Arabidopsis thaliana: one gene and its partners. The protein of the gene in region 1 purifies or fractionates together with the protein of each later gene. This does not show direct contact. Each region holds a gene or a part of one and is shown in the gene's direction. Other genes may lie near its edges. The genes, in order: EMB2753, La1, EIF2 GAMMA and AT4G18330.

What was found.
Region 2: the proteins of EMB2753 (region 1) and La1 fractionate together in Arabidopsis thaliana (co-fractionation; one large-scale study listed by BioGRID). This does not show direct contact.
Region 3: the proteins of EMB2753 (region 1) and EIF2 GAMMA fractionate together in Arabidopsis thaliana (co-fractionation; one large-scale study listed by BioGRID). This does not show direct contact.
Region 4: the proteins of EMB2753 (region 1) and AT4G18330 fractionate together in Arabidopsis thaliana (co-fractionation; one large-scale study listed by BioGRID). This does not show direct contact.

What each region holds. Positions count from the first base shown.
Region 1 is NC_003070.9:30,231,609-30,237,397, reverse strand, and holds the start of EMB2753 (tetratricopeptide repeat (TPR)-containing protein), read left to right. Parts: upstream 1-2,412; 5' UTR 2,413-2,565; coding exon 2,566-2,616; intron 2,617-3,103; coding exon 3,104-3,182; intron 3,183-3,566; coding exon 3,567-3,649; intron 3,650-3,756; coding exon 3,757-3,906; intron 3,907-4,075; coding exon 4,076-4,191; intron 4,192-4,508; coding exon 4,509-4,614; intron 4,615-5,010; coding exon 5,011-5,082; intron 5,083-5,173; coding exon 5,174-5,289; intron 5,290-5,492; coding exon 5,493-5,625; intron 5,626-5,789. Other genes in the region: ATXRCC1 (BRCT domain-containing DNA repair protein), read left to right, coding at 235-423, 524-712, 803-914, 1,085-1,170, 1,263-1,376, 1,456-1,542, 1,670-1,954. UniProt on the Arabidopsis thaliana protein: Auxiliary subunit of the NatA N-alpha-acetyltransferase complex. Required for male gametocyte development, embryogenesis, suspensor development and the formation of the quiescent center (QC) in the root meristem.
Region 2 is NC_003075.7:15,785,047-15,790,990, forward strand, and holds La1 (La protein 1), read left to right. Parts: upstream 1-2,147; 5' UTR 2,148-2,266; coding exon 2,267-2,317; intron 2,318-2,420; coding exon 2,421-2,499; intron 2,500-2,598; coding exon 2,599-2,748; intron 2,749-3,025; coding exon 3,026-3,168; intron 3,169-3,258; coding exon 3,259-3,407; intron 3,408-3,520; coding exon 3,521-3,643; intron 3,644-3,732; coding exon 3,733-4,027; intron 4,028-4,132; coding exon 4,133-4,280; intron 4,281-4,375; coding exon 4,376-4,448; coding exon of another isoform or gene 4,449-4,452; intron 4,453-4,546; coding exon 4,547-4,637; 3' UTR 4,638-4,950; downstream 4,951-5,944. Other genes in the region: SCRL25 (SCR-like 25), read left to right, coding at 1-123; SCRL24 (SCR-like 24), read left to right, coding at 1,291-1,357, 1,593-1,795. UniProt on the Arabidopsis thaliana protein: Binds to the 3' poly(U) terminus of nascent RNA polymerase III transcripts, protecting them from exonuclease digestion and facilitating their folding and maturation.
Region 3 is NC_003070.9:1,094,733-1,100,940, forward strand, and holds EIF2 GAMMA (eukaryotic translation initiation factor 2 gamma subunit), read left to right. Parts: upstream 1-2,149; 5' UTR 2,150-2,388; exon of another isoform or gene 2,389-2,554; intron 2,555-2,666; 5' UTR 2,667-2,690; coding exon 2,691-2,799; intron 2,800-2,886; coding exon 2,887-2,948; intron 2,949-3,067; coding exon 3,068-3,180; intron 3,181-3,266; coding exon 3,267-3,369; intron 3,370-3,646; coding exon 3,647-3,874; intron 3,875-3,985; coding exon 3,986-4,204; intron 4,205-4,304; coding exon 4,305-4,565; intron 4,566-4,667; coding exon 4,668-4,970; 3' UTR 4,971-5,169; downstream 5,170-6,208. Other genes in the region: XIB (myosin XI B), read left to right, coding at 1-10, 169-297, 375-445, 615-711, 786-842, 933-989, 1,072-1,235, 1,303-1,414.
Region 4 is NC_003075.7:10,124,676-10,129,649, forward strand, and holds AT4G18330 (Translation elongation factor EF1A/initiation factor IF2gamma family protein), read left to right. Parts: upstream 1-1,903; 5' UTR 1,904-1,988; intron 1,989-2,060; 5' UTR 2,061-2,071; coding exon 2,072-2,198; intron 2,199-2,287; coding exon 2,288-2,462; intron 2,463-2,539; coding exon 2,540-2,642; intron 2,643-2,725; coding exon 2,726-2,953; intron 2,954-3,046; coding exon 3,047-3,265; intron 3,266-3,348; coding exon 3,349-3,912; 3' UTR 3,913-4,059; downstream 4,060-4,974. Other genes in the region: AT4G18320 (uncharacterized protein), read left to right, coding at 341-1,303; AT4G18335 (uncharacterized protein), read left to right, coding at 4,194-4,688.

The sequences.
Region 1 (5,789 bases):
TTGAAATTGAAAAAAGGTTATACCATTCGTTTGTATTAAGATTTGTCTTTCTTAGGGAATGTTTTACATTTTTTGCAGATTTGCACCGTTTTCTCTCTGGCTTTGTGTTGTGCTAGATGCGATGCAATAGCAATATTTTCCTGGAGTTTCAAGTAACTAGTGGCTTAGGTTCATAATAGTGTTTCTTTGTAGGACGAAAGCTGTGTTAGTATTCTCTCCACTGTAAAGGACAAGATGTCTCAGAAGCGAAATCTTCCTTCTTGGATGAGTTCTAGGGATCCCGAGATTACTCCGAGTAAGTCTCATTGTAAGAAGCCTAAGGATGAAGGACCAACCGAAGAGCACAACAGTAGAAATGCCCCTTCCAACAAGTCAGAACACGCCGAGCCAAGTTCAAATACCACTGAATTCTCTAAACTTATGGTTTGTGTGTGTCTTCATGGTCTTGTTGAGACTCAATTATCTTAAGCTGTCATGTTAGTTTATATGCTTTTGTGATTGAGTTGAAGGTTAAACTATGCAGGAAGGCGTTGTTTTTGTACTTTCGGGCTTTGTTAATCCTGAGAGGAGTACACTGAGGTCACAAGCCTTGACAATGGGAGCCACCTATCAACCTGACTGGAACGCTGGCTCTACCTTGTTGATTTGTGCTTTTCCTAACACTCCAAAGTTCCGTCAAGTTGAAACAAATGGTGGAACAATTATCTCAAAGGTTACCTCTTTGACTCTTCTTATAAGGGATTGTGTGCGGATTTGAATTTCTCCTTTTTGCTGATATTTTATATGATTTCACTGTCTCCAGGAGTGGATAACTGAGTGTTATGCGCAGAAGAAGTTGGTAGATATCGAGCAATACCTTATGCATGCTGGAAAACCATGGAGGAAAAGCAGTAGTCCCCAAGATGCTAATCGAGGTAAAAAGAATTATATTGGAAAGGCTTTAGATAGAATCTCCGTTTTAACCATCCTGAGGTTCATCAAATCACCTTGTTTTTACGTTTATGACAAGAGAAAAGCTTTTCTTATTGCACTGCTTCACTCCGATGTTTAGTTGACTCTGTGAACCTTAATTGATTGTATTCAGAAAAGAGAGAACACCTGTCTAAAAAACCAGAGAAGCAAGTAGAGAAAAAAACAGAAACAAGGGGAACACCATCTACCTCATCCAAGGCATGTTTAAATCTGATGATTTGGTTAACCAAAACGAACCGTATTTTGCTCCAATCAATGGTCTATGACTGTTTATTTCCATATGTTCACAGAATAGATCAGCTTGCAATCTTGTGAAAGAGCCATTTTTTGTTACAGAGGTGAAGAAATGGGCCAGGGATGACCTAAGTCAAACCATCTCATGGCTTGAGAGTCAGGAGGAAAAAGTAAGGGAATTAATATGCTCTTTCAAAAGACATGTTTTCTTGATTGTATGTTTCCGTTATTCTAAAGCCATTGTAACAGCCAGAACCAGGCGAAATCAAGCGAATAGCTGCGGAAGGAGTCTTAACCTGCTTACAAGACGCCATAGATTCTCTTGAACAGAAGCAGGTTAATATCTCTGAAGTCTGAACAATAATAGTTGCCGCCTGTGTACATTTTTGGATTTGTTAAACTTTGATCAGTTTCTTTGAGAAGATCATTGGTTGAATTTATTCTCGAATGTTCTTAATTTTAGGACATTGGATCAGTTACAGAGCTATGGAGCTTTGTCCCTCGTGTAGTGAAGGAGCTTGGAAAGATGGAATCGTCTTCTAAAAAGGAAAATTCAACAGCATCAAAGGAAGAAGTTTGCAAACAAGCAAAGTCGTGGAAAAAGATCTACGAAGCTGAGCTAGCAAAACCGGGCGAAGATGAATCGACCTCTCGGGTTGCTTGTGGCTATGACAGTGATATGACCGTTGAGATGACTGAAGAAGAGATCGAACTTGCTTATAGGAACGTTTCTTTAGAGTGTCTTTAGATCAAACTTGTTTCATTTTGCATATGATCTCTTAAGGAATTCCAAGAATTCTTGTTATACTCGGTTTGTTCGGTTTGAGTAGGATGTTATTACTGATAAAAATTTGAAATAATCCGGTCTGCTTGGTTCGGAAAGAATGTTTCTAATTAGAATTTATTTATGCTGGTTTGGATTCGATTGAGAGATGTAATCGGTTGCAATTAATAAGTCGGTTTGATTTGATACTTTTTAGTGTCGATTGACGATGAATTTGATCGGTTAATACAAATTTGATTTGGTCAATTAGGTTCAGATGTCTCCAGTTTTGAACCGGTTTGGTTCTATCCAATTTAATAACCGTTTTGTAATATCAGACAAACGAATTGAAACCGGAAACATGTACCGATATGGTTAGGATCGAAGAAGATTGATTGAAGACAAGACCCTAATTTATTTATACCCTTATTGGGTTTTGTCTTGTGAGAGTTGTGCCTTTCTTTGTTTCGCAGTAGGGTTGAAGCGGATAGTACGCCACCTCTATCTCTCTCTCACCCTATCGAACTCGCGAAGAACATCTTCTTCTTCTTCTTCTCCGTCTTCGTCTTCGCGAGCTCTCTCAGTAGCGCAATAAAATGGGGGCTTCGCTTCCTCCTAAGGAGGCCAACCTCTTCAAGCTCATCGTCGTATGTTCCGATTCCCTCTCTTTCTTTCTCAGTTTTTACTTTGTCTTAAACATGCGATGTGATGTTCCTGGTCAGCAGAAATTGGAATACGATGAGTTTTATCTGCTCTATTAAACCCTAAATTAAGTTAATCGTCAATGTGTTGGGTCAATAGAAAAATTCGTTGACATATGAAGTAAACTGTGCGGAGTTGTGGTTCCTTAATGTGTTAATTTGATGTACCAAGTTCTTAGCTTCAGTTACTTTTGACTATCGGCTATTATTAGACCTCGATTGCTTCTGGGCTTTTTTAGTCGCTCAGGGATTCGTAGTTTACTTTGAAGAACTTGAAAACCAAGCTTTATCAATATATATATGGTTTCAGCATAGATTTTGGGTTTAACCATTATATTGTTCAACCTGCTTTGAATAGTTGACCTTTTTCTTTATGTAATTTTCGCAAGTAAGTACATCATATATAGTTATTCTGAGTAATCTTATAATGCAGAAATCATATGAGACTAAGCAGTACAAGAAGGGACTCAAGGCAGCTGATGCCATATTAAAAAAGTTTCCTGATCATGGAGGTCAGTTTGTCTTTTATCTAATATCTCCTTCTATTCCTTTGTGATTTAGTGCTAATCTTTTTACTGCTATCTAAATACTTACAACTCTATACTACATACATCAACCGAGATCTCATGACTTGTAGGTCTACTAGGCGCTTCGTTGTCTTGTCTATAGTCTTAAGAATCAATCACTGTTAGAATTTTTATTTTCTTTCTTCCTATTAGAGCAAATAAATTAACTTTTTAGTACAAGGGTAATGCTTGGTATTGTTTAGTTTTGTTAGTAGAGACCAGTTCTGTTTCGTGTTAAACGCAGTTCTTGCTTTTTTTGATTTGTCAACCCTTTTCGTTATTCTTTTCTTTCTTTTAAAACTTGTCGCTCTTATTGTTTGTGATTTTCAGAGACTTTATCGATGAAAGGACTGACTCTAAACTGTATGGACCGCAAAACTGAAGCATATGAGCTTGTTCGACTTGGAGTGAAGGTTTGAATATGCTCTTCAATAATCACAACTTTATTCCTTAGTTTCCAAAATGGTATTTTGTTTTCAGGGTAACATAGGATTTATATACTTCAAATTTTTTCATGCAGAATGATATCAAAAGCCATGTTTGCTGGCATGTGCTTGGTCTTTTGTACCGGTCAGACAGAGAGTATAGAGAAGCAATCAAATGCTACCGAAATGCTCTTAGAATAGATCCTGATAACCTTGAAATACTCAGAGACCTCTCACTTCTGCAGGTAATTATGAGAAAAACTAGATTGAGGTGAATTTATTAGGTGTGCCAGTTATTCTCAAAGCTGATTTTTCATACTTTTTATCACTTTACTTTGTGTAAAGCTTGTTCCAATTTTAATCTCTTTTGATGCTTTCAATAGTTAATCATATTGGTTACTTTCTTTTTCCTAGGCACAAATGCGGGACTTATCCGGTTTTGTGGAGACCAGGCAGCAGCTTTTGACATTGAAGCCTAATCACCGAATGAACTGGATTGGCTTTGCAGTCTCTCAGCATTTAAACGCAAAGTATGTTATTGTCCTTGACCCCATAAATCTAAATATGTTAAACCACTTTACTCATTTGAATGGAATGCTAGTTTTTCCTCTTTGGACTATTGGCTAGCTGGTTAATGGCATATGATTTGGAATTATAGTCTTGAACACTTTAAGGAGTAGATAGTGGATGCCTATGTTGGTACGAATCTTGCATCAGATTTTTAGGAAATAATATACCAATGAACATACAGTAGAATTTTCTGTGAACATCTTTTCTTTACTAGTAAAAGCTAGCCATGTATATCAACCTTGATCTCTTAACTTGTTCTATTTTCTCCTGAAACCAGTGCTTCTAAAGCTGTTGAAATTTTGGAAGCGTATGAAGGCACCTTAGAGGATGACTATCCTCCTGAGAACGAGCTAATTGAACACACAGAAATGATTCTATACAAGGTATCAACCAGAAACTTTACAACTATCATATATTGACTGTTGTCTTTCTAAGTTTTTTTCCCTGAAAAATCATGCTTGCCTAAACGGGTTTCACACATTTTTCTCCTATTGACGAAAATACCAAAAGTACAAGTTGGTTGATACAAAATATGGCTTACTGCTTGTATCATACATTTTGTGAATCACACCTGTATTCTTTTGTGACAAAAGCATAACTCTCTCAAGTATAATTGGATATGAACCCTGGAAAGTCTCTCCAAGCCACCTGGAGTGGTGGTGTTCTGTTCACTCTTTCCCCCTGAAACTTCCCTGTTTGAGCAACCTACAGTTGGCATTAGCACATTTTTCATAGCTGTAGCTGCAGGAAATCTCATCTGGATTTTTTTTTCGTTTCAGGTTTCCTTGCTTGAGGAGAGTGGTTCTTTTGACAAAGCTCTTGAGGAGTTGCACAAAAAAGAGCCGAAAATAGTAAGTTCACAAAACTGATGGTTGAATGTATTTGGATAATAGGATGCACACATAATAGTAGATTTAACATTCCTCGTTTGCTTGTTTGTAGGTTGATAAGTTGTCTTACAAAGAACAAGAGGTATCTCTCTTGTCAAAGGTTGGTCGTCTAGAAGAAGCCAATAAACTCTACAGGGTTTTACTTTCCATGAACCCTGACAATTACAGGTTTTTTCCTTGCACTTCAAAGTAGCTCTAAAGAAATTATCTGTGTATTTTTTCGTTTTTCTCAATTGTCACATCTGTTTGCCCTGCTTCATTATCTTTGGCATTGGCGGTCTATACCTTTGCTACTCTCAAAGGCTTCTATATATTTTTGGTACTGTCAATTTTTTGTAAACAAATAAAAAGTGCATTCCTTGCTTTTTCAGATATCATGAGGGCCTCCAAAAATGCCTTGGATTGTATTCAGAAAGTGGTCAATATTCGTCCGACCAGATTGAAAAGTTAAATGCTTTGTACCAGTCTCTAAGTGAGCAGTACACTCGGTCATCCGCTGTTAAGGTGAGATAAGGCATATCAGTGCCTGAAGTGTAATACATTTTCTAGTATCCTTCTACTTCATAGGGAGCTAGTAGTGGCTACCCATGTTTTACCCGTCTGATGTTTTTTTTGGCTGCTGATACGTAAAATTCTAAAACTGGTATTAAGTTATTTTCTATTTCCCC
Region 2 (5,944 bases), on another chromosome or scaffold:
TGCTTGAAATTCATGACGAATAAATATAAGAAAGAAAGACATGTTAGCTGCACATGTACTAACCTTTACATGTTACACAAGACCAAACGTTTTTGCGACTGTAAACATCGCTGCTCAGGATAAACTCCCCTAACCAACATTGCTTTTACCTATTTTTTAGTTTTTACTAATAGAATTGTTATGAGTGTTTGTAGTGTTGTCATTTTCATGACCCATAAATAAGTTATGTTATTCTAATGTATCTCTCTTTTTCCACACAAATTTTTAATAAAGTTATGAGTTACTTCTTTCTAAGTAGTTAGTATGAGTTTTCCAATCAATCTATTTTCCACGTTCAGTTTTCCAAATTGTATTGATCCTGTTATAGTGTAATTACGCATTTTGTAATTGGCCATGGTACTACAATACTAATACTATCATGTTATCTGCAGACTTCAATCTTTTATTTTTAAAAATTAATTATTAGCATTTGTAATATTGATGTAATTTTAATACAAACTGTTTATTAATTTGTTTGAAAACTTATGTGGACAAATAAAATTAGTATACAGAACAAAAAAATATGTTTCAATACCAAAAAAAGTTCACTCCCTAAGCTTTTCTGTCTCTTAAGGATAACATCCTGGATGAGGTCTCTCGATGATTCCCCCCACATACAACATAACCATATAAAAAAAAAATCATCAGCCAAGTGAAGCCTCGGGAACAGTAGTGTGAACCTTTGGATCCTTGGCCTATCGTCAAATGATCGACGACGGTCGAGTTGATTGATCCTACACAGTACACAACCTGAATGTTTTCCCATAGCATCTCTGCTTCATCTATTCCTTGCTAGTAGGATTGATCCCAGAAAACCATAAATTTGTTTTATAAAGATTGAACGTTTGTCTATAGATTAATTTTCAATGGATTAAACATTGTAAATTAATGGTCTTATGGATTTTGTGAGTTTAGATTATCAAGGTTAGAACTGTGTATTTTGAAAAGAATAGGTGATGCGTCATCACAATACACGCAAAAAAAAAAAGTGAAAAATATATAATACTAGTAAGTAGATTTACAAAGAAGAATTTTTCCAAAAAAGAAAGAGTTGATCCGTCGAACTCGTTAATTAAGAAGGCTCGTTGAATTTTACAAAGCAAATTCTAAAAAAAGATGCATCTATTTTTACGATATCTCGAATATATTTATTATGAGTGTTGTTGATAAGAAAGATAAAAAATTCGAGAGGCAAACAATAGTTTTCTGCAACTATAGAGATAATTAATAATTCTTATCAGCTTTTCAATCATGAGATCTGTTATTTGGTTTATAGTTTCTTATACTCTCATGTTACTCGTTCTGAGAGGTGGTAAAGGTAATATGTTGAGTTTTTTTTGTATGGACGTAACTCGTATATAATAAGATATAAAACAAGGATGTTCTTTCTAATTGCAAAAACGGTGTTGTGATTAAAGGAAATAAAAAGCATTGTTACAACGTTAACATATGGTTTAATAGTGAACTTATTTGGATTGTCATTTGTTTATTAATCGAACTAAAATTAACGTTTTTTTTTTTTTTTTTGGTTTGTGTGGTTGAGAAAACAATAGAAGTGGAAGCTGAGAAACTGTGTACAACGATAGGAGACTTGGACGGTAAATGTAGCCAAGACGGAGAAAAGTTGTGCATGAGATACATGACTGATCAATCTAAAAAAAAGTTTCTTAGCTGCACATGTAATAACGTTGTTATGTTACACAAGTACAAACATTATTGCGAATGTCAATCTCATTGTACTCCAAAACAAACGTAAGCTGTAACTCTATAATCAATATATCTCTTTACAACTAAATAAGAATTGTTGATAGAGTTTGTAGTGTTTTCACGACTCAAAAATACAAATGTTGTGCTGATTGAAGTATGAATTTTTGGTTCAAGTCTTGATCTTGATCATTGAAAAAAATCGTGAAAATATTGATCAATTGCCAACGAAAAGACGTAATGGGGTGAATCAGATAGTGTAGGATTATTTGGGGTAATTTTGTTACATTCTAAAGTATAGTGGGTGGGGTTAAATTGATAGTATTAAAAAAGTCAAGGGTTAATACGAAATACAAATATAATCAATAGCGAAAAACCAAAAAATAAATAAATAAATGACAATTTGACTCGAAAACTTTAAGAGAAAATGGAAACTGTGTCTCAATAAACCCTAGTACCCTTTTTCTCTCTTATTCTTCTATCTTCCTCCTCCTCTATCTTTCGCTCGAGCCATTGAGCAATTATGTCGATTCCTTGTCTAACCGAAGAGACAGCCAAAACTGTTCTTCGCCAGGTACAAACTTGTCTTCTTCTTCTTCTTCTGCGGTTCCTCTCTAGTAGCTTCACCAGTTTTTTTTCTTTCGATTATGTTCTGATATTTGATATCGATTTTATAGGTGGAGTTCTATTTCAGTGATAGTAATCTACCCATTGATGATTTCCTCAAGAAGACTGTTACAGAGAGCGAAGATGGCTGTAAAGTTTTAAACTTTTAAACAAATTCAGTCGCTATCGCTGTGTATTTTGATTTTTTTTTGTTATGGCTAATTGATGATTTTTTGGTTTGTCAAATAGTGGTGAGTTTGGCGTTGATTTGCTCCTTTAGTAAGATGAGAGGATATTTGAAGTTGGGTGATTCTAAAGGAGATGATATTCCTGAAGATACCATCAAAGCTGTTGCTGATACTCTTCGAACCTCTTCTGCTCTCAAGATTTCTGACGATGGTGAGTTTCATGATATAATCAAGTTTCTGTTGGGTTTGGATATAGTTAACAATTGCTTTAATTGATTCAAACGAAGTAGTGATATCTTAGAAGAAAGATAATAGTTTGAGAGTTTCAATTATAGGTGAATGGCCTGTGTAGTGCATAGTTTAAACTTAGTTTCATTAAGAAAAGTCTTTGCATGTGGATTTTACAAGTTTGATAATATGTGGTGTCAGATTGGAGAAATATGTTTTGTACAGTTTAGTGATCAATTTTGTTGGATTTTCTTAAACAGGGAAAAAGGTTGGTAGGAGTACTGAATTGTTGAAGCTGGAAGATTTGATTGAGCAACTTAATGCTAGAACAGTAGCTGCGTCACCTTTCTCCTATGATGTTAAAAGGGAAGACGTGGAATCCTTTTTCAGTCAGTATGGAAAGGTAATCCACTATCGATTGAATCATAAGCCATTGTTCAAAATTTAGATTGGTTATACAAGTTTTTGGTATATGTATGTGTCGTCCTTGCAGGTTAATAGTGTGAGGATGCCTCGTCATGTTGCAGAGTCGAGGATATTTTCTGGTGTTGCCTTGGTTGAGTTCCCTACAGAAGAGGATGCCCAGAATGTTATGAAGCAGAATTTGGTCTTTGCTGGTCAGGAGTTGGAGCTGAAACCAAAGTAATCATACTTAGACATGAAAACATGTCCTGTTTGCTGACTGTTTCTCATTTTACAAGTCTTTCCATTGAATGTTTGGATGGGTTACTTAAAAGGTGATATATTCTTTTCAGGAAAGAGTTTGATAATGAAAGGGAGAAGGATGAAGTAAAATTTGCTAATTACCAACCTCAGAAGGGATCTGCAAATCAGAAGAATGGTTCTGATCACAAAAACAATTCTGCTTATGAGCCAGAGTAGGGGTTTGACTGTTGCTATCTAATTACTTGTCTTTTCATGCTAATAATCCTCTTGATCTGATTATGGCTATTTTATCGTATTGTAGTTATCCCAAGGGTTTGATCATTTCATTCACCCTCAAGCGTTCAGCTGAAGAGGGTACCACGGAACAAAAAAGTTCTGAGGAGCCAACTGATAAGACAATGGAAGAAAGTGAAACAAAGCCAGCAGATACTCCTGATGCTGATAAAGAAAACACTGGTGAGGTTCAGGCCGAGGGAGCAGAGGATGAAGATGATGAGAAAGAAGAAAAGGGTGCTCTAGCCACCCATAAAGATAATAAGGATGTTGTCTTACGTGAAGATCTTAAGGCTGTTTTCGGAAAATTTGGTGATGTCAAGGTACTACTTGAGTTTTACTTAGCTGTCTGTCAACATGAATCAGATTCAATATCTCATATAACTGACATCATTTTCACTGATTCCTTTATTCTTTTTGTTGTGAAGTTTGTTGATTTCAAGATGGGATCTGAGACGGGTTATCTTAGGTTTGATGAACCTGAAGCATCCCAGAAAGCCCGTGCAGCAGCAGTATTAGCCAATGAAGGTGGACTAGCCGTGAAGAATTTTATTGCTGTCCTAGAACCTGTTATTGGTAAAAACACCTTTTCAACTTCAATCTTATCTTATAACTAAACCTTGTGTTCTGCTTTAGTTAAATGGTCACTTGTTTATATTGCTCTCTGTCAGGCGAAGCTGAAAAGGAGTATTGGACTCTCCTACGAAGCAAAGATCGGTTTGACAAGGGTGGCCGTGGAGGAAGGTGAGTTCATGTTTTTGTTCTGGTTTCTTTGTTATGATTTTGTTTCAAATGAAGTTTTTGTTTGGTTCTTCAGATAATAATATACTTGGTCTATGCAGGGGAGGAAGAAGAGGAGGGAGATTCGGGAGAAAGAGGGGATCAGATTCACCGGGTGGTCGCTGGAACAAATCTCAGAAGGTGGAAGCATGAGAGATTTCGCTCGTGACTGCTTCTGTTTTTCAATATATTTCTAGTTGCAACTTTAAATTTAATGTATCGACTGGTGACTCGTGATGTTATAACTAGAAATAGCTGCTTATTTGGCAAATTTTGGTTTAGTCATATTTGGTATTGTTTTGTTTAGCTTTATGTGCCTTCTTATGCACACATCTCTTTCCTTAATTATTTTAAATCGATGTTTAGGAAGCATTCTAAAAGACAAACTATTAATATTAACTGCTAAAAGTATATTCCTGTAAATTCTACAACTGTATCAATTGACTCACTGATGATGACACTATTTTACTTGAAGTAGTTAAAATTAATTTTGAAAATCAAATAGTTTTGGTATTCTTCTTGGTCTTCTCGTTTGACTTTGTCTACATTGTTATTAGGTTTTTATGCTGATTTTAGAATTAGCTGTTACTGGCAATTTCATCTTCTTCCTTTTTAATGAGAAAAAAACTCTTCTTTCATACAAAGAATGCTTTGCCGTTGTTTAGAAGAAGAAGCAACAGAGAATCTCGAAAGAAAAATGAATGAAGAAACGTATAAATAAATAAATTGAACTTTTATGATATGAGAGACTAAAAAGCGAGATTCAGAGATTGAAATCAACGGCTGAGATCACTTTCCTTTTTGTTTTGATCTCTCTCTCTCTCTCTCTCTCTCACTTCGAATTCCGTCCGCCTCTCCATGTTTGAGTTTTGAATACCTCTCTCTCTCTCTCTCATTCTCTCTCTCTCTCTCTCTCTCTCTCTCTCTCTCTCTCTCTCTCTCTCGACTTCGATTTCGATTTGTGTTCTTCTTCTTCTTCATCTGGATTCTCAGCGTCTTAATTACTTCAGATTAATTTTGGAATTCGTTGATCTGCAAGGTGTGAGCTTTACTCGTATGACCTCGTCTCCTTCTCTTATTATGGTCACATTTTTGTTAGTTTTCACGGAGACTTCTTCCTGATTTTTCAAAAATCTACTCTTTGAACTTCTCTTACTTTTTTTCGTATAAAGTTTCGATTTTCTTCAGATGATGTTCGAAGCTTTTTTCTCGAGGTTTTTGTTTTGGGTTCTGAAACTAATTCGGGCTTCTTATCTTAGGTTTTTTTGGATCCAATCTCAATATCTAAAGCTACCTTCTTCATTCTGTGAACTTCTTCCTTGTTTTGACTTTAGTTTGCTCTTTTGCTGTGAAGCTAATGCTGATTCTTAGTCTGAGTCCGACTGTGTTTTTAATTTTATGGTTTATCTTTGTTTCAAATTACAGCAATGTGCTTCGCTTATGATGATTTCTAAGACATA
Region 3 (6,208 bases), about 29 Mb from region 1:
GTGCATTCAGGTTTCATTGACTTCTCTCTTTGCAGCTATATATTTTTGTCCTGACTTTACGTTGTTGTATCCTAATGCTGTGACCACTCGCTTGTTGCGTTGCACCTTGATAATAAATGTGTTTTACTATTGTAACAAGTCCTGTTCTGTCAAAACTTTGAACTTCAGGCACCGAGAATTTCAAAAGGAGGGATACAAAGATCTGCTAGATCTCTTGGAAAAGATTCTCCTGCTATTCACTGGCAGAGCATTATTGATGGTCTCAATTCGCTGCTTGCCATATTGAAAGATAATTATGTAAGGAAATAGTAAAAGTTCCATGACATTATTCTGTTTTCAAATCCTCAAATTCTCATATGTTTCATGGTGTACAGGTTCCTTTGGTACTCATCCAGAAGATACACACTCAAACTTTCTCGTTCGTCAATGTGCAACTATTTAACAGGTAAATAATACTTGAGAATTACATCTAATGGTTTCTACACACCTTATCATCGATACTCGTCAAAGTACAAACCTTCCTATGGTTGATATTTCTCAAATTCCTATGGAAGATATAAGCCAAGATCACTAGTGTTTTCTTACTTGGTTTTTTCCTTAACATCTTACAATAGCCTTCTACTGCGTAAAGAGTGTTGTACATTCAGCAATGGAGAATTTGTAAAGTCTGGGCTTGCAGAGCTAGAATTGTGGTGCGGCCAAGTCAATGAAGTAAGTTCCTACCTCACGTTTTCCTTCCGGAAAAAGTTTCTTTCGGCTCATTATATCATTCTTTGATTTTGCAGTATGCTGGGCCATCTTGGGATGAACTGAAACACATCAGACAAGCTGTTGGGTTCCTGGTATGTTTTACTCTTGTTTAATACTAACTTGTGGAACTCTTGTTTCTTGAATCTTCAAAAACGAATACTTCTCCTCTCGTAACTTATCAGGTTATCCACCAGAAGTACAGAGTATCATACGATGATATAGTACATGATCTTTGCCCGGTAAAGCTCCTTCTTAGTTTCTAGAAACACGTTTTTGCCTAGACTCCATACTTAATGGCTTTCTTGTTTCACTTTATTACAGATCCTTAGTGTCCAACAACTTTACCGGATATGCACATTATACTGGGACGACTGCTATAACACCCGAAGTGTGTCTCAAGAGGTAATATCGAGCATGCGTGCGCTCATGACAGAAGAATCCAACGATGCCGACAGCAATTCCTTCTTGTTGGATGATAATTCCAGGTAACTCGAATCATTTCTTAAAGATTAATATCAGTAGTAGAAACTAAAACCGGTTTATTGTTCGCAGCATTCCCTTCTCAATAGACGAGATTTCGAATTCGATGCACGAAAAAGACTTTGCGAGTGTCAAACCGGCCAAAGAGCTACTGGAAAACCCAGAATTCGTATTCTTGCACTAGTGAGAAGCTCGGATTCTAAAAAAGCTCTTCCTCTGTTTCTTTTTAGTCTGAGTGGGGGAGGGGTGCCTTCTTGAACCAAAAGGAAAGAAGATTACAAAAGTGTAAATTTTTACTTCTTGTGGGGTTGTTTCTTTCTTGCAAAACCTCTGTGATTTCTCTCTCACCAATTCATTCATTTATTTATTTGACCCCATTTCAAAGTTTTTTCTCCATTTTAGACCCAAGATTATTATCTGGTTTTTTTTTTTCACGGCTCAAGTTCTACACGATGAAGATCCTTTGTTGTTGTTGTACAGAATTAATCTACTTAATTTGTTATAAACTTGCCCCAACTCTTTTCAGTGATTTTTTTTTAAAAAATTTGGGACTCAATCAAACTCCATTACACCTGGTGATATTGGTTTAAAACCAACGTTTCTGACTTCAACAGCCGAGATTCAAAGACTTCAAAACCTTCCAAAAAAAAACAAATTCATAACTGGTTCGGAAAGATAAATTGACAAACCCGAGAGAGATAGAGGAACACGAACGCTTATAGTCGATCGCAAATAGGCCTTTCACTTGAGGTGTCTGTCTCAAGTTCGAATTCTAAAAGTTTTATGGTTTTTTTTGTTTAACTGTGTTTTATGTTGGGCCAAATTGTTTTTTGCTTTTAGGCATTAAATTTAGTCGGGCCGGCCCTGCACATAAAATTAATATGATGAAATGTTTTGGGTTTGATACTTTGATTCATAGAAAAAGTAAATTAGTCTCTACTGATAGTAATTTAATTAAATACTAGTATTTCATTATTTTGTAAGAAATTTTAGAAAGGGAAAAAAAAAAAAGGTTACGCGAAGGAAACCAAAAACCCTTTAGGGACTTGGATAGAAAAAAAAAAACCATTTTGTGCATCTTCTTCAAGCTGCGCCGCTTTCTCACTCTTTTTTATCTCTCAAATTTGACCTTCTCCGTTGTTCTTTCGCATCGCTCAGGTTCGTTTCGATCTCGAATTACATCTCCTACGGATTCAATATTTGTTCAACCTAATTGTTCCCATTTCTATCGCACGAAGATTAGTTCGGGGAATCTAATCGTAATCATAATGTTTTTTTAGATTGCGAATCGAAATTATTGTGATATTTAGGTAACGGAGCTCAGGTATAGAATCTGTGTGTCGACTTGATTAGGGCAGATGTAGAAAAACCTGAGAAGTAGTCTTTTTCAGATTAACTAGGGTTAGGGTTCTGATTTGATGCTCGGTTTTAAGCAGGAGCAGAAGCTTCAATCTTTGATAATGTCGAGGAACAAGGGTTTGGCTGAGCAAGATCTTAAAAAATTGGATGTAACTGTGCTACATCCTCTGTCTCCTGAGGTCATTTCTCGCCAGGCCACTATTAATATAGGTAACGCTTTTTTGAGTCTTTTATATAAGTTGATGTTGAAGAAACTGGCAGTTCCTATAAGCTAAAGATGATAGTGTTATGTTTCAGGAACCATTGGTCATGTCGCTCATGGAAAGTCCACTGTTGTTAAAGCTATTTCTGGTGTCCAGGTAAAATTTGATTATGCGGTTTTCACAATTGTAATCCTAGAGGCTTTTCTAGCTTGCAGCGTTTGATCAATTGGAGTGGGTGAAGTGATTTCTATGGTTTCCTTATCTTCTCTGTACAGACTGTCCGTTTTAAAAATGAATTGGAGCGTAACATTACCATTAAGCTTGGATATGCAAACGCCAAGATTTACAAATGTGAGGATGAGAAATGCCCTAGACCAATGTGCTACAAGTGAGTCCTTCTTACAACAGTGTTTTTATCTTCTACTTCTACTATAAGGTTTGAGTCAAGGTCTAACAACTTATCTGTTGTATTAGGGCCTACGGAAGTGGAAAGGAAGACACTCCCAATTGTGATGTCCCCGGATTTGAAAACTCCAAGATGAAACTATTGAGGCATGTCTCATTCGTTGATTGCCCGGTATGATGAGTTTTACCGTTATCTTTATTCTTCATTAATTACCATTTTCATTTGATAGTATAAGTGTATAACCATTTCATGTGTCAATGAGCTGTTCGTTTATTGTGTATTATCGATGTTGTTGTGCTCCACCTGCATGATTTTGGGTCTCTCATTTAATTGGGTGAAGGGCTTAAAGAGTGAGGGTTGATGGAGAAGTATTCATTGATGTTTCCATCTTTTGCTTTTCTTATCTCTACTTCATTCTTGTTGAATGTATTCTTGTTCTATTCTTCAGGGTCACGATATTCTCATGGCAACAATGCTTAATGGAGCAGCCATCATGGATGGTGCACTACTTTTAATCGCTGCAAATGAAACTTGTCCACAACCACAAACGTCTGAACATCTTGCTGCCGTTGAGATTATGCAACTTAAGCATATCATCATCCTTCAGAACAAGATTGATCTTATTCAAGAGAATGTTGCCATTAATCAGCACGAGGCAATTCAGAAATTTATAATGGTTAGGTTTTCTTATCTCTTAAGGATCTGTTGTAGCATTCTCATTTCGTCACTTGGTTAAGCTAAGTATTGAAGAACTTGGTTCTAAAATTTCTTTCACATCCTGTTGCAGAACACTGTTGCTGATGCTGCTCCGATCGTCCCTGTCTCAGCACAACTGAAATACAACATTGATGTGGTGTGCGAGTACATTGTCAAGAAGATCCCAATCCCTGAGAGGAATTTTGTGTCACCCCCAAATATGATAGTGATTCGGTCTTTTGATGTCAACAAACCTGGTTATGAGGTTGATGAGATCAAAGGTGGAGTTGCAGGTGGAAGTATCCTACGGGTATCTATTCTCTCTCTCTCCCTTTCTCTTGTTGTGCCTCTTAAGTACATCAAGCTTTATATGGTGTAATCAGTATCTCTTAACTACATGTATATTGTAGGGTGTTTTGAGAGTCAACCAATTAATCGAAATCCGACCTGGTATCGTTACCAAAGACGAGCGTGGCAACTCAAAATGCACTCCAATTTACTCTCGCATCATTTCACTCTACGCGGAACAGAACGAGCTTCAGTTTGCTGTTCCTGGAGGTCTAATAGGAGTTGGAACAACAATGGACCCAACTCTCACTCGTGCAGATCGATTAGTTGGTCAAGTCCTTGGTGAAATCGGTTCACTTCCTGATGTATTTGTTGAACTCGAGGTATAAACAACTCCTCACAACCATACTCTTCAGTCTTTATGGTCCTAATGGGTCTCTTAGTGTATTTTCTCCTTTTAATTTGTGGTTATGTAAAATCTGTAGGTGAACTTCTTTCTTCTACGACGTTTGTTGGGAGTGAGAACAAAGGGATCAGAGAAACAAGGGAAAGTGTCAAAGCTAACGAAAGGAGAGATTCTGATGCTCAACATTGGTTCGATGTCCACTGGAGCCAAAGTTGTAGGAGTTAAAGTCGATCTGGCTAAACTGCAACTGACTGCGCCTGTTTGTACCAGCAAAGGAGAGAAAGTGGCTCTAAGCAGACGTGTGGAAAAGCATTGGCGTTTGATTGGTTGGGGTCAGATTCAAGCTGGAACCACCATCGAAGTTCCTCCTTCACCTTTCTAAGCTATGTGTTATTTTTGTCCTTTTTGTTTGTGTTTCTGAAAAAAAGATTGTTAAACCCCTCAAAAAGATAATAAAACTCTTTTTCTCGTTGGGGGATTTTGGAGAGTTCGTCTTTGCGGATTAAACATCTTCAAACAGTACCTGATTTGTTATTGTTACTAGTTTGCTCTTTGTTATTGTTACTAGTTTGCTCTTTGTTTGTGTTTTTCTCTTAGATATTACTAAATTTTGTTGTCTCTCTTTTTTTTTTTGAAATTTTTGTCAGAGATACTCTGCTACTTGACTATACATACTTTCTTCAGAAAAGGAACAACTTCATTACTCATTAGGATCCGATCAAGTACGACTTTTTATAATAAATACGACTTTTTAGTCAAAATGTTCATGTCTTCTCTCTAAAGAACGTTATTTGTTTGCGATTTGAATTGAGTGTCTTGCCTTCCACTGTGTATATCCGTGCGAAAACTTATGTTACATAGACGGGACTGCAGAGGCAGCAAGTCTCCATTCGGCTCATCTGGAACTGTCTCAACAACACTTGCATTTGTGGTTCGCCTTCCCATTGAAATGAGAAGAATCGCTGACTGTGTTCCAAAGTGATGGGTTAACATGCCAACCTTTCATGCAGGGAAACAAGTTTAGTTACCTAGACTCCCGCAACAAATACTTGCACAAATTGAAACTCTGGAAGAAGATAAACCCGAATGGTACTTTCATCACGCACTTGCTCCACAATACCTTCTATTGGCTTGCCCTTCCACAGAGCCAAATTCTCTTCCACCAATAGCTTCCACTTTGTAATGGAGGCGCTCCTTCTTGAAGCGGGGAAAAAGCGTCCGCTCCAGGTTTTAAATTCCTTATGTGACCGTTAATCCTTAGGGGAACAAAAAAAGGAAATAAAGCCATCCAATTGAAAAAAGTGTTAAACTCATTTTAAAAAACATAATAATAATTTTCCCGAAAATTTAAAACTTAAACTTTAAAAAAATAAGTAATAATTTAACTAAAACTATGTTAATTAGAATTTGCCGTGTGAATCACGATGATACGAAGTAAATAAAAGTCTGACTATTATTAAATTTGATTTACTAACGTGTATTTGGTTAATCCAGTAGTTATACCGTGAAGCTTATGTAGCTTTATTTCTAGTCACGAATTAAAACATTAATCTATAGAATTAATTATGACCATTAATTATTTTTATGTGGAAAATAATTAGTCAAAGAAGAAGGTGTGAT
Region 4 (4,974 bases), on another chromosome or scaffold:
AAATTTCTCTCTTCAAACAAGAAATACTTAAAGACTGCTCGATCTCTTCAAAATGTATCTAAACAAACTTCCCACTCACAATTTAATATATTCTTGCTATCATTCCATAAACAGATTAACTCATTTCTTGCAATGATTTTTGTTTTTGAAAATGTAGCTAGCAACAAAACTTCTTCCATTTTTTCGTAACTCATATATATAGCTTCTGCCTTCTGCTATCAGATTTCATTTCTCTCAAAATTATTTTTCTTGGTTTCATCTCATTTTTTGGAGGGATTTTTGAGAACATCTTTAAAAAAAAAATAATCTTCCAGTTCTTATTTGTTAATTCTTATAGTTTATGCTCTCATCTCACTTCTCTCAAATTTGTTTCTCTCGCAGGGATTCATGGGGAAGTTTGCCTCAAGATCTCCTCAGAAGTTCTACAAATTTGCTTAACCCTAACTTTACCGAAGGTGGGGCACTAAGAGGTGTCAACACTCATTGGAGGAACACATTTCTTTCTTTCCGTGAAGGAGGTTTCGTAGAGGAAAGGCCGTGGTTGTTGTACCGTGAAAGGGGATCCCGAGTTGCCCATTTCTATGACCCTGTGAGAGAGGAGCTACATCATGGGAAAGACCCATATCTTGAAGGGGCCAAATTCTTAGGATCAACATTGGGTTGGGTTGTTATGTCCAACTCCAGTGCCATACACCGACGTCAAGACCACCAAGCTTTCTTATACAACCCGTTCACTTCACAACGGTACCAACTACCCCTTCTCACCACTGATAACCCATGTGTGATCCGTTACGGTGTGCTCACCGGAGATCCCCGTCAAGACAACACTTATGCTTGTCTCCTAGCCGATAGCTTTCACGAAAATAATCATATGGTGATAGCGCATATGCATGCTCCTAGTCGACAAATATATTATGTAGCCAAGAGTAACGGAGACTGGGATCAGAACTGGTCAGTGACTCGTATCCCTACCTTCAACCATCCAATTTGTGGTTCGACTATAGATTCCCTCTCCCCATCTGTGGACAAAATATCAATTATTTTATGGGGCCATACTCTTGACTTCACCTTCCGAACCCAAAATTGGAATGTCTCAAATACTCAAGAGAATGATACCATCGAATGGAATCCTTTCCACGGCCAATCTTTTGATCAGATCAAACATCGACTTCAGATATTTCCACAAACTCTAGACATTATCGGCACTAAAACTGATCGCGAGAGAGTGAAAAACCGCACTTGGGGTGCTAACAACCAAATCGTTTCTTACACTGACGGAGTTTGGGTTGAGGTTCGCGCTTAGCCTAATGTTCTACCACTTGACTCTTTAAGTTATTTCTCTGTGATTGTTTTCGTTATCTATCTTTTATTTGTGTGGTTTAAGATTTTTAGTATTAATTTCTATTTATTGTGTTGCAAACTCTACTCATTGTGGTTTCGTTAGAAACTCTACTTTGGTTTGTTTATAAAAATGCTGATCTTTTATTGTTTATTTTTACGTTAAACTTAATAGACAAACAAAGAACTCTTAATTCGGTGTACATCTCTTCGTTAATATATGTAAAACATATTTTTTTTAAAAAAATTGTTTAGCAAAGAGTAAAATGAAAAATTCTACAAAAGATGTTCTCTTATTTGGCTCCTCTACAAAAAAAACTCAACTCCGATTACAAATTCGAGTTTAAATTTACAGGTTTTCAATATTGGGCCGTATTGGGTGCTAATGGTTTTACTAATAATAAGAATGGGCCTAGTTAATCATAAGGCAATGAAAAAAAGGTTTACAAAACCCTACATTTTTTACCTTCCACGTGTAAACTTCTTCCCCAATCTTACAAATCTTTAACTGTCATCGAGCGAGCTCAACATTTTTCGGACAACAAAGTGTAAGAGACTGATTAAACAAAATCGAGACTTTATAGTACTCAGGTTTGTCGGAATCGACTGAGTATCGAAATTATTGTGGTGTTTTGTGAACAGAAACCAAGGTATGCATGAAATCGTTTTGTATATAAACCCTAATATCGATTTCAGAATTTTCATTGATCTCGTTGTTTTAGCAGGATTAAAGATGGTTCAATCTGTGTTAATTTCGCGTAACAAGGGTTTGGCGGAGCAAGATCTAACTAAGCTTGATGTAACAAAGTTACATCCTCTGTTTCCTGAAGTCATTTCTCGCCAAGCAACCATAAATATCGGTAAATTACACTCTGCTTTTGCCAGCTCCTCTAGGTCTATAGTATAACTTGATGTCAAAGAAACCAATACTGTGCTAAATATATCTCAGGAACCATTGGTCATGTCGCTCACGGTAAATCGACTATAGTGAAAGCTATCTCTGGTGTTCAGACTGTGCGTTTTAAGAATGAATTAGAGCGTAACATTACCATTAAGCTTGGTTATGCAAATGCAAAGATTTACAAGTGTGAGGATGACAAGTGCCCTAGACCAATGTGCTACAAGTGAGTCATAATCTTCTTTTTGATATAATAAGGCTAAGTGTTATTATGTGTAGCAGCAGCTAATCTGTTAATTTTAGGTCATATGGGAGTGGAAAAGAAGACAACCCAACTTGTGATGTCCCCGGATTTGAGAATTGCAAGATGACACTACGGAGACATGTCTCATGTGTCGATTGTCCGGTATTAATGAGTTTAATTTACACTTTGTCTCTCAAAACTAGAACCATTGGCTATATGTAACTGAGTTGTTTTTTATTCATCAGGGACATGATATTCTTATGGCGACAATGCTCAATGGAGCAGCAATCGTGGATGGTGCTTTACTTCTAATTGCTGCTAACGAGAGTTGTCCACAACCACAAACCGCTGAACATCTTGCTTCTGTTGATATGATGCGCCTTAAGCATATCATAATCCTTCAGAACAAGATTGATCTCATTAATGAGAAAGCCGCCACTGAACAGCACGAGGCTATTCAGAAATTTATAACGGTTTGATCAATTTTCTTATCTCTCTGTTGTTAAATCTTTCATGACTTCATCAGTTTGGTTCTCATATTTTCTGTCACATATATAATGTTGCAGAACACGAATGCTGAGGATGCACCTATAGTTCCTGTCTCAGCACAACTGAAATACAACATTGATGTTGTGAGTGAATACATTGTCAAGAAGATTCCAATCCCTGTGAGAGACTTTGTGTCACCACCAAAGATGATTGTGATTCGTTCTTTCGATGTCAATAAACCTGGCTCGGCGGGTCATGAAATGAAAGGTGGTGTTGCTGGTGGAAGTATCCTCCAGGTATGTTTTTATCTCTCTGTTTCTCCTCTGTTCTTACCTGACTGTGAAACAATTTAGTATTAATATGTGTCTCTCTTTGTTTGGGTGTTTTGAAAGTGAACCAACTGATTGAAATTAGACCTGGTATCACTGGCAAAGATGAGCATGGAAACTCAAAATGCACTCCAATTTACTCGCGTATAACTTCACTATACGCGGAACAGAACGAGCTTCAGTTTGCTGTACCGGGAGGTCTAATCGGAGTTGGAACAACCATGGACCCTACGCTTACGCGTGCTGATAGGTTGGTTGGTCAAGTCCTTGGTGAAATGGGTACTCTCCCTGACGTCTTTGTTGAGCTTGAAGTAAGTTACCAGCTTCTGACTCGTCTCATTGGAGTGAGGACAAAGGAAAAAGAGAAGCAAATGAAAGTGTCAAAGCTAACCAAAGAAGAGATATTGATGGTGAACATCGGGTCTATGTCTACGGGAGCTAAGGTTATTGGAGTCAAGAAAGATATGGTGAAACTCCAACTGACGTCTCCGGTGTGTACCACCATAGGAGAGAAGGTTGCTTTAAGCCGACGTGTCGATAGGCATTGGCGTCTAATTGGTAAGGGTCAGATTATGGCTGGAACCACCATCGATGTTCCTCCTCCTCCTTTCTAATGAAGTAGTGATGAGTTTTTTATATTGTTTGCATTCAAAAATAATTAACATGTGCCTTTGTATGTTTAATCACTTTCTTTCGACTACAATATAAAACTATATTCATATTTAACACAACATTGACGAAAATTTAAAAAACAAATTCATAATTTCATTAATGATATTACTTATCACTAATTAGGAATTATATAATTCTAATTCCCTCCTCGTTCTGAGCTTTTGTTTCATCTTTACGCTCTCTCTTACTCTCAGCCAAAACCCTATACTCTCTTTCAATCCCAATGGAAGATTTGGTTTTGATGAAACAGAGTCTTCTAAAAAGCTTCATCGTCTCTCTTATTCTCACTCTCGTCTTCCTCATCTCACCATCATCATCATCTTCGAATCAAGAAACAAGAGTATCATCAACACAAAAAACGGAAGCTTATCTCAACGGTTACGAATCACCGCACCAACTCGTCTACATCAAGAAAACGACACCGTTTATCTTGAACCAGCGGTTGCAACGAGACAACCACCGTCGTCGTCGTTACAATCACCAATACTACTACTACTATCGACATACTCTTCGTCATCGCCGTGGTCTTCATCATCGTGCTGGCTACTTCAAGATGATGGCCAAGAAGAATAACGGTTTAAACCGTCCGGTTCGACAGGATACTTTCTCGGTTATGCTTCCCAAAGGATTCGTACCTCCTTCCGGTTCATCTCCATGCCATAACCAGAACCCTAATTCCGCTACTACTCTCTTTTGCGATCTTTCTACACAACCCTAGATATCGTTGCCGATACGTCGTACGTGAAACGATTTTGTTCCTCTCGTCGCACTTTTGTATTTTTCATCTTTTAAAGATTTTTTTTTCTTTTTTGTTCGGAATGACCGGTGCATTGATCAGTGCATTTTTGACGGTCAAGTGTATGAAAATAATTTGCATACTAATGTTTGATTGTTCGTGTCCTTTGATTTTTCAGAAAGTACTTATTTTTCCTTACGTGCAGCTGAATTATTTTATTCTATAAAACTAAACTTGACTGATCGGTAAAATAATATATGGAGAGAAA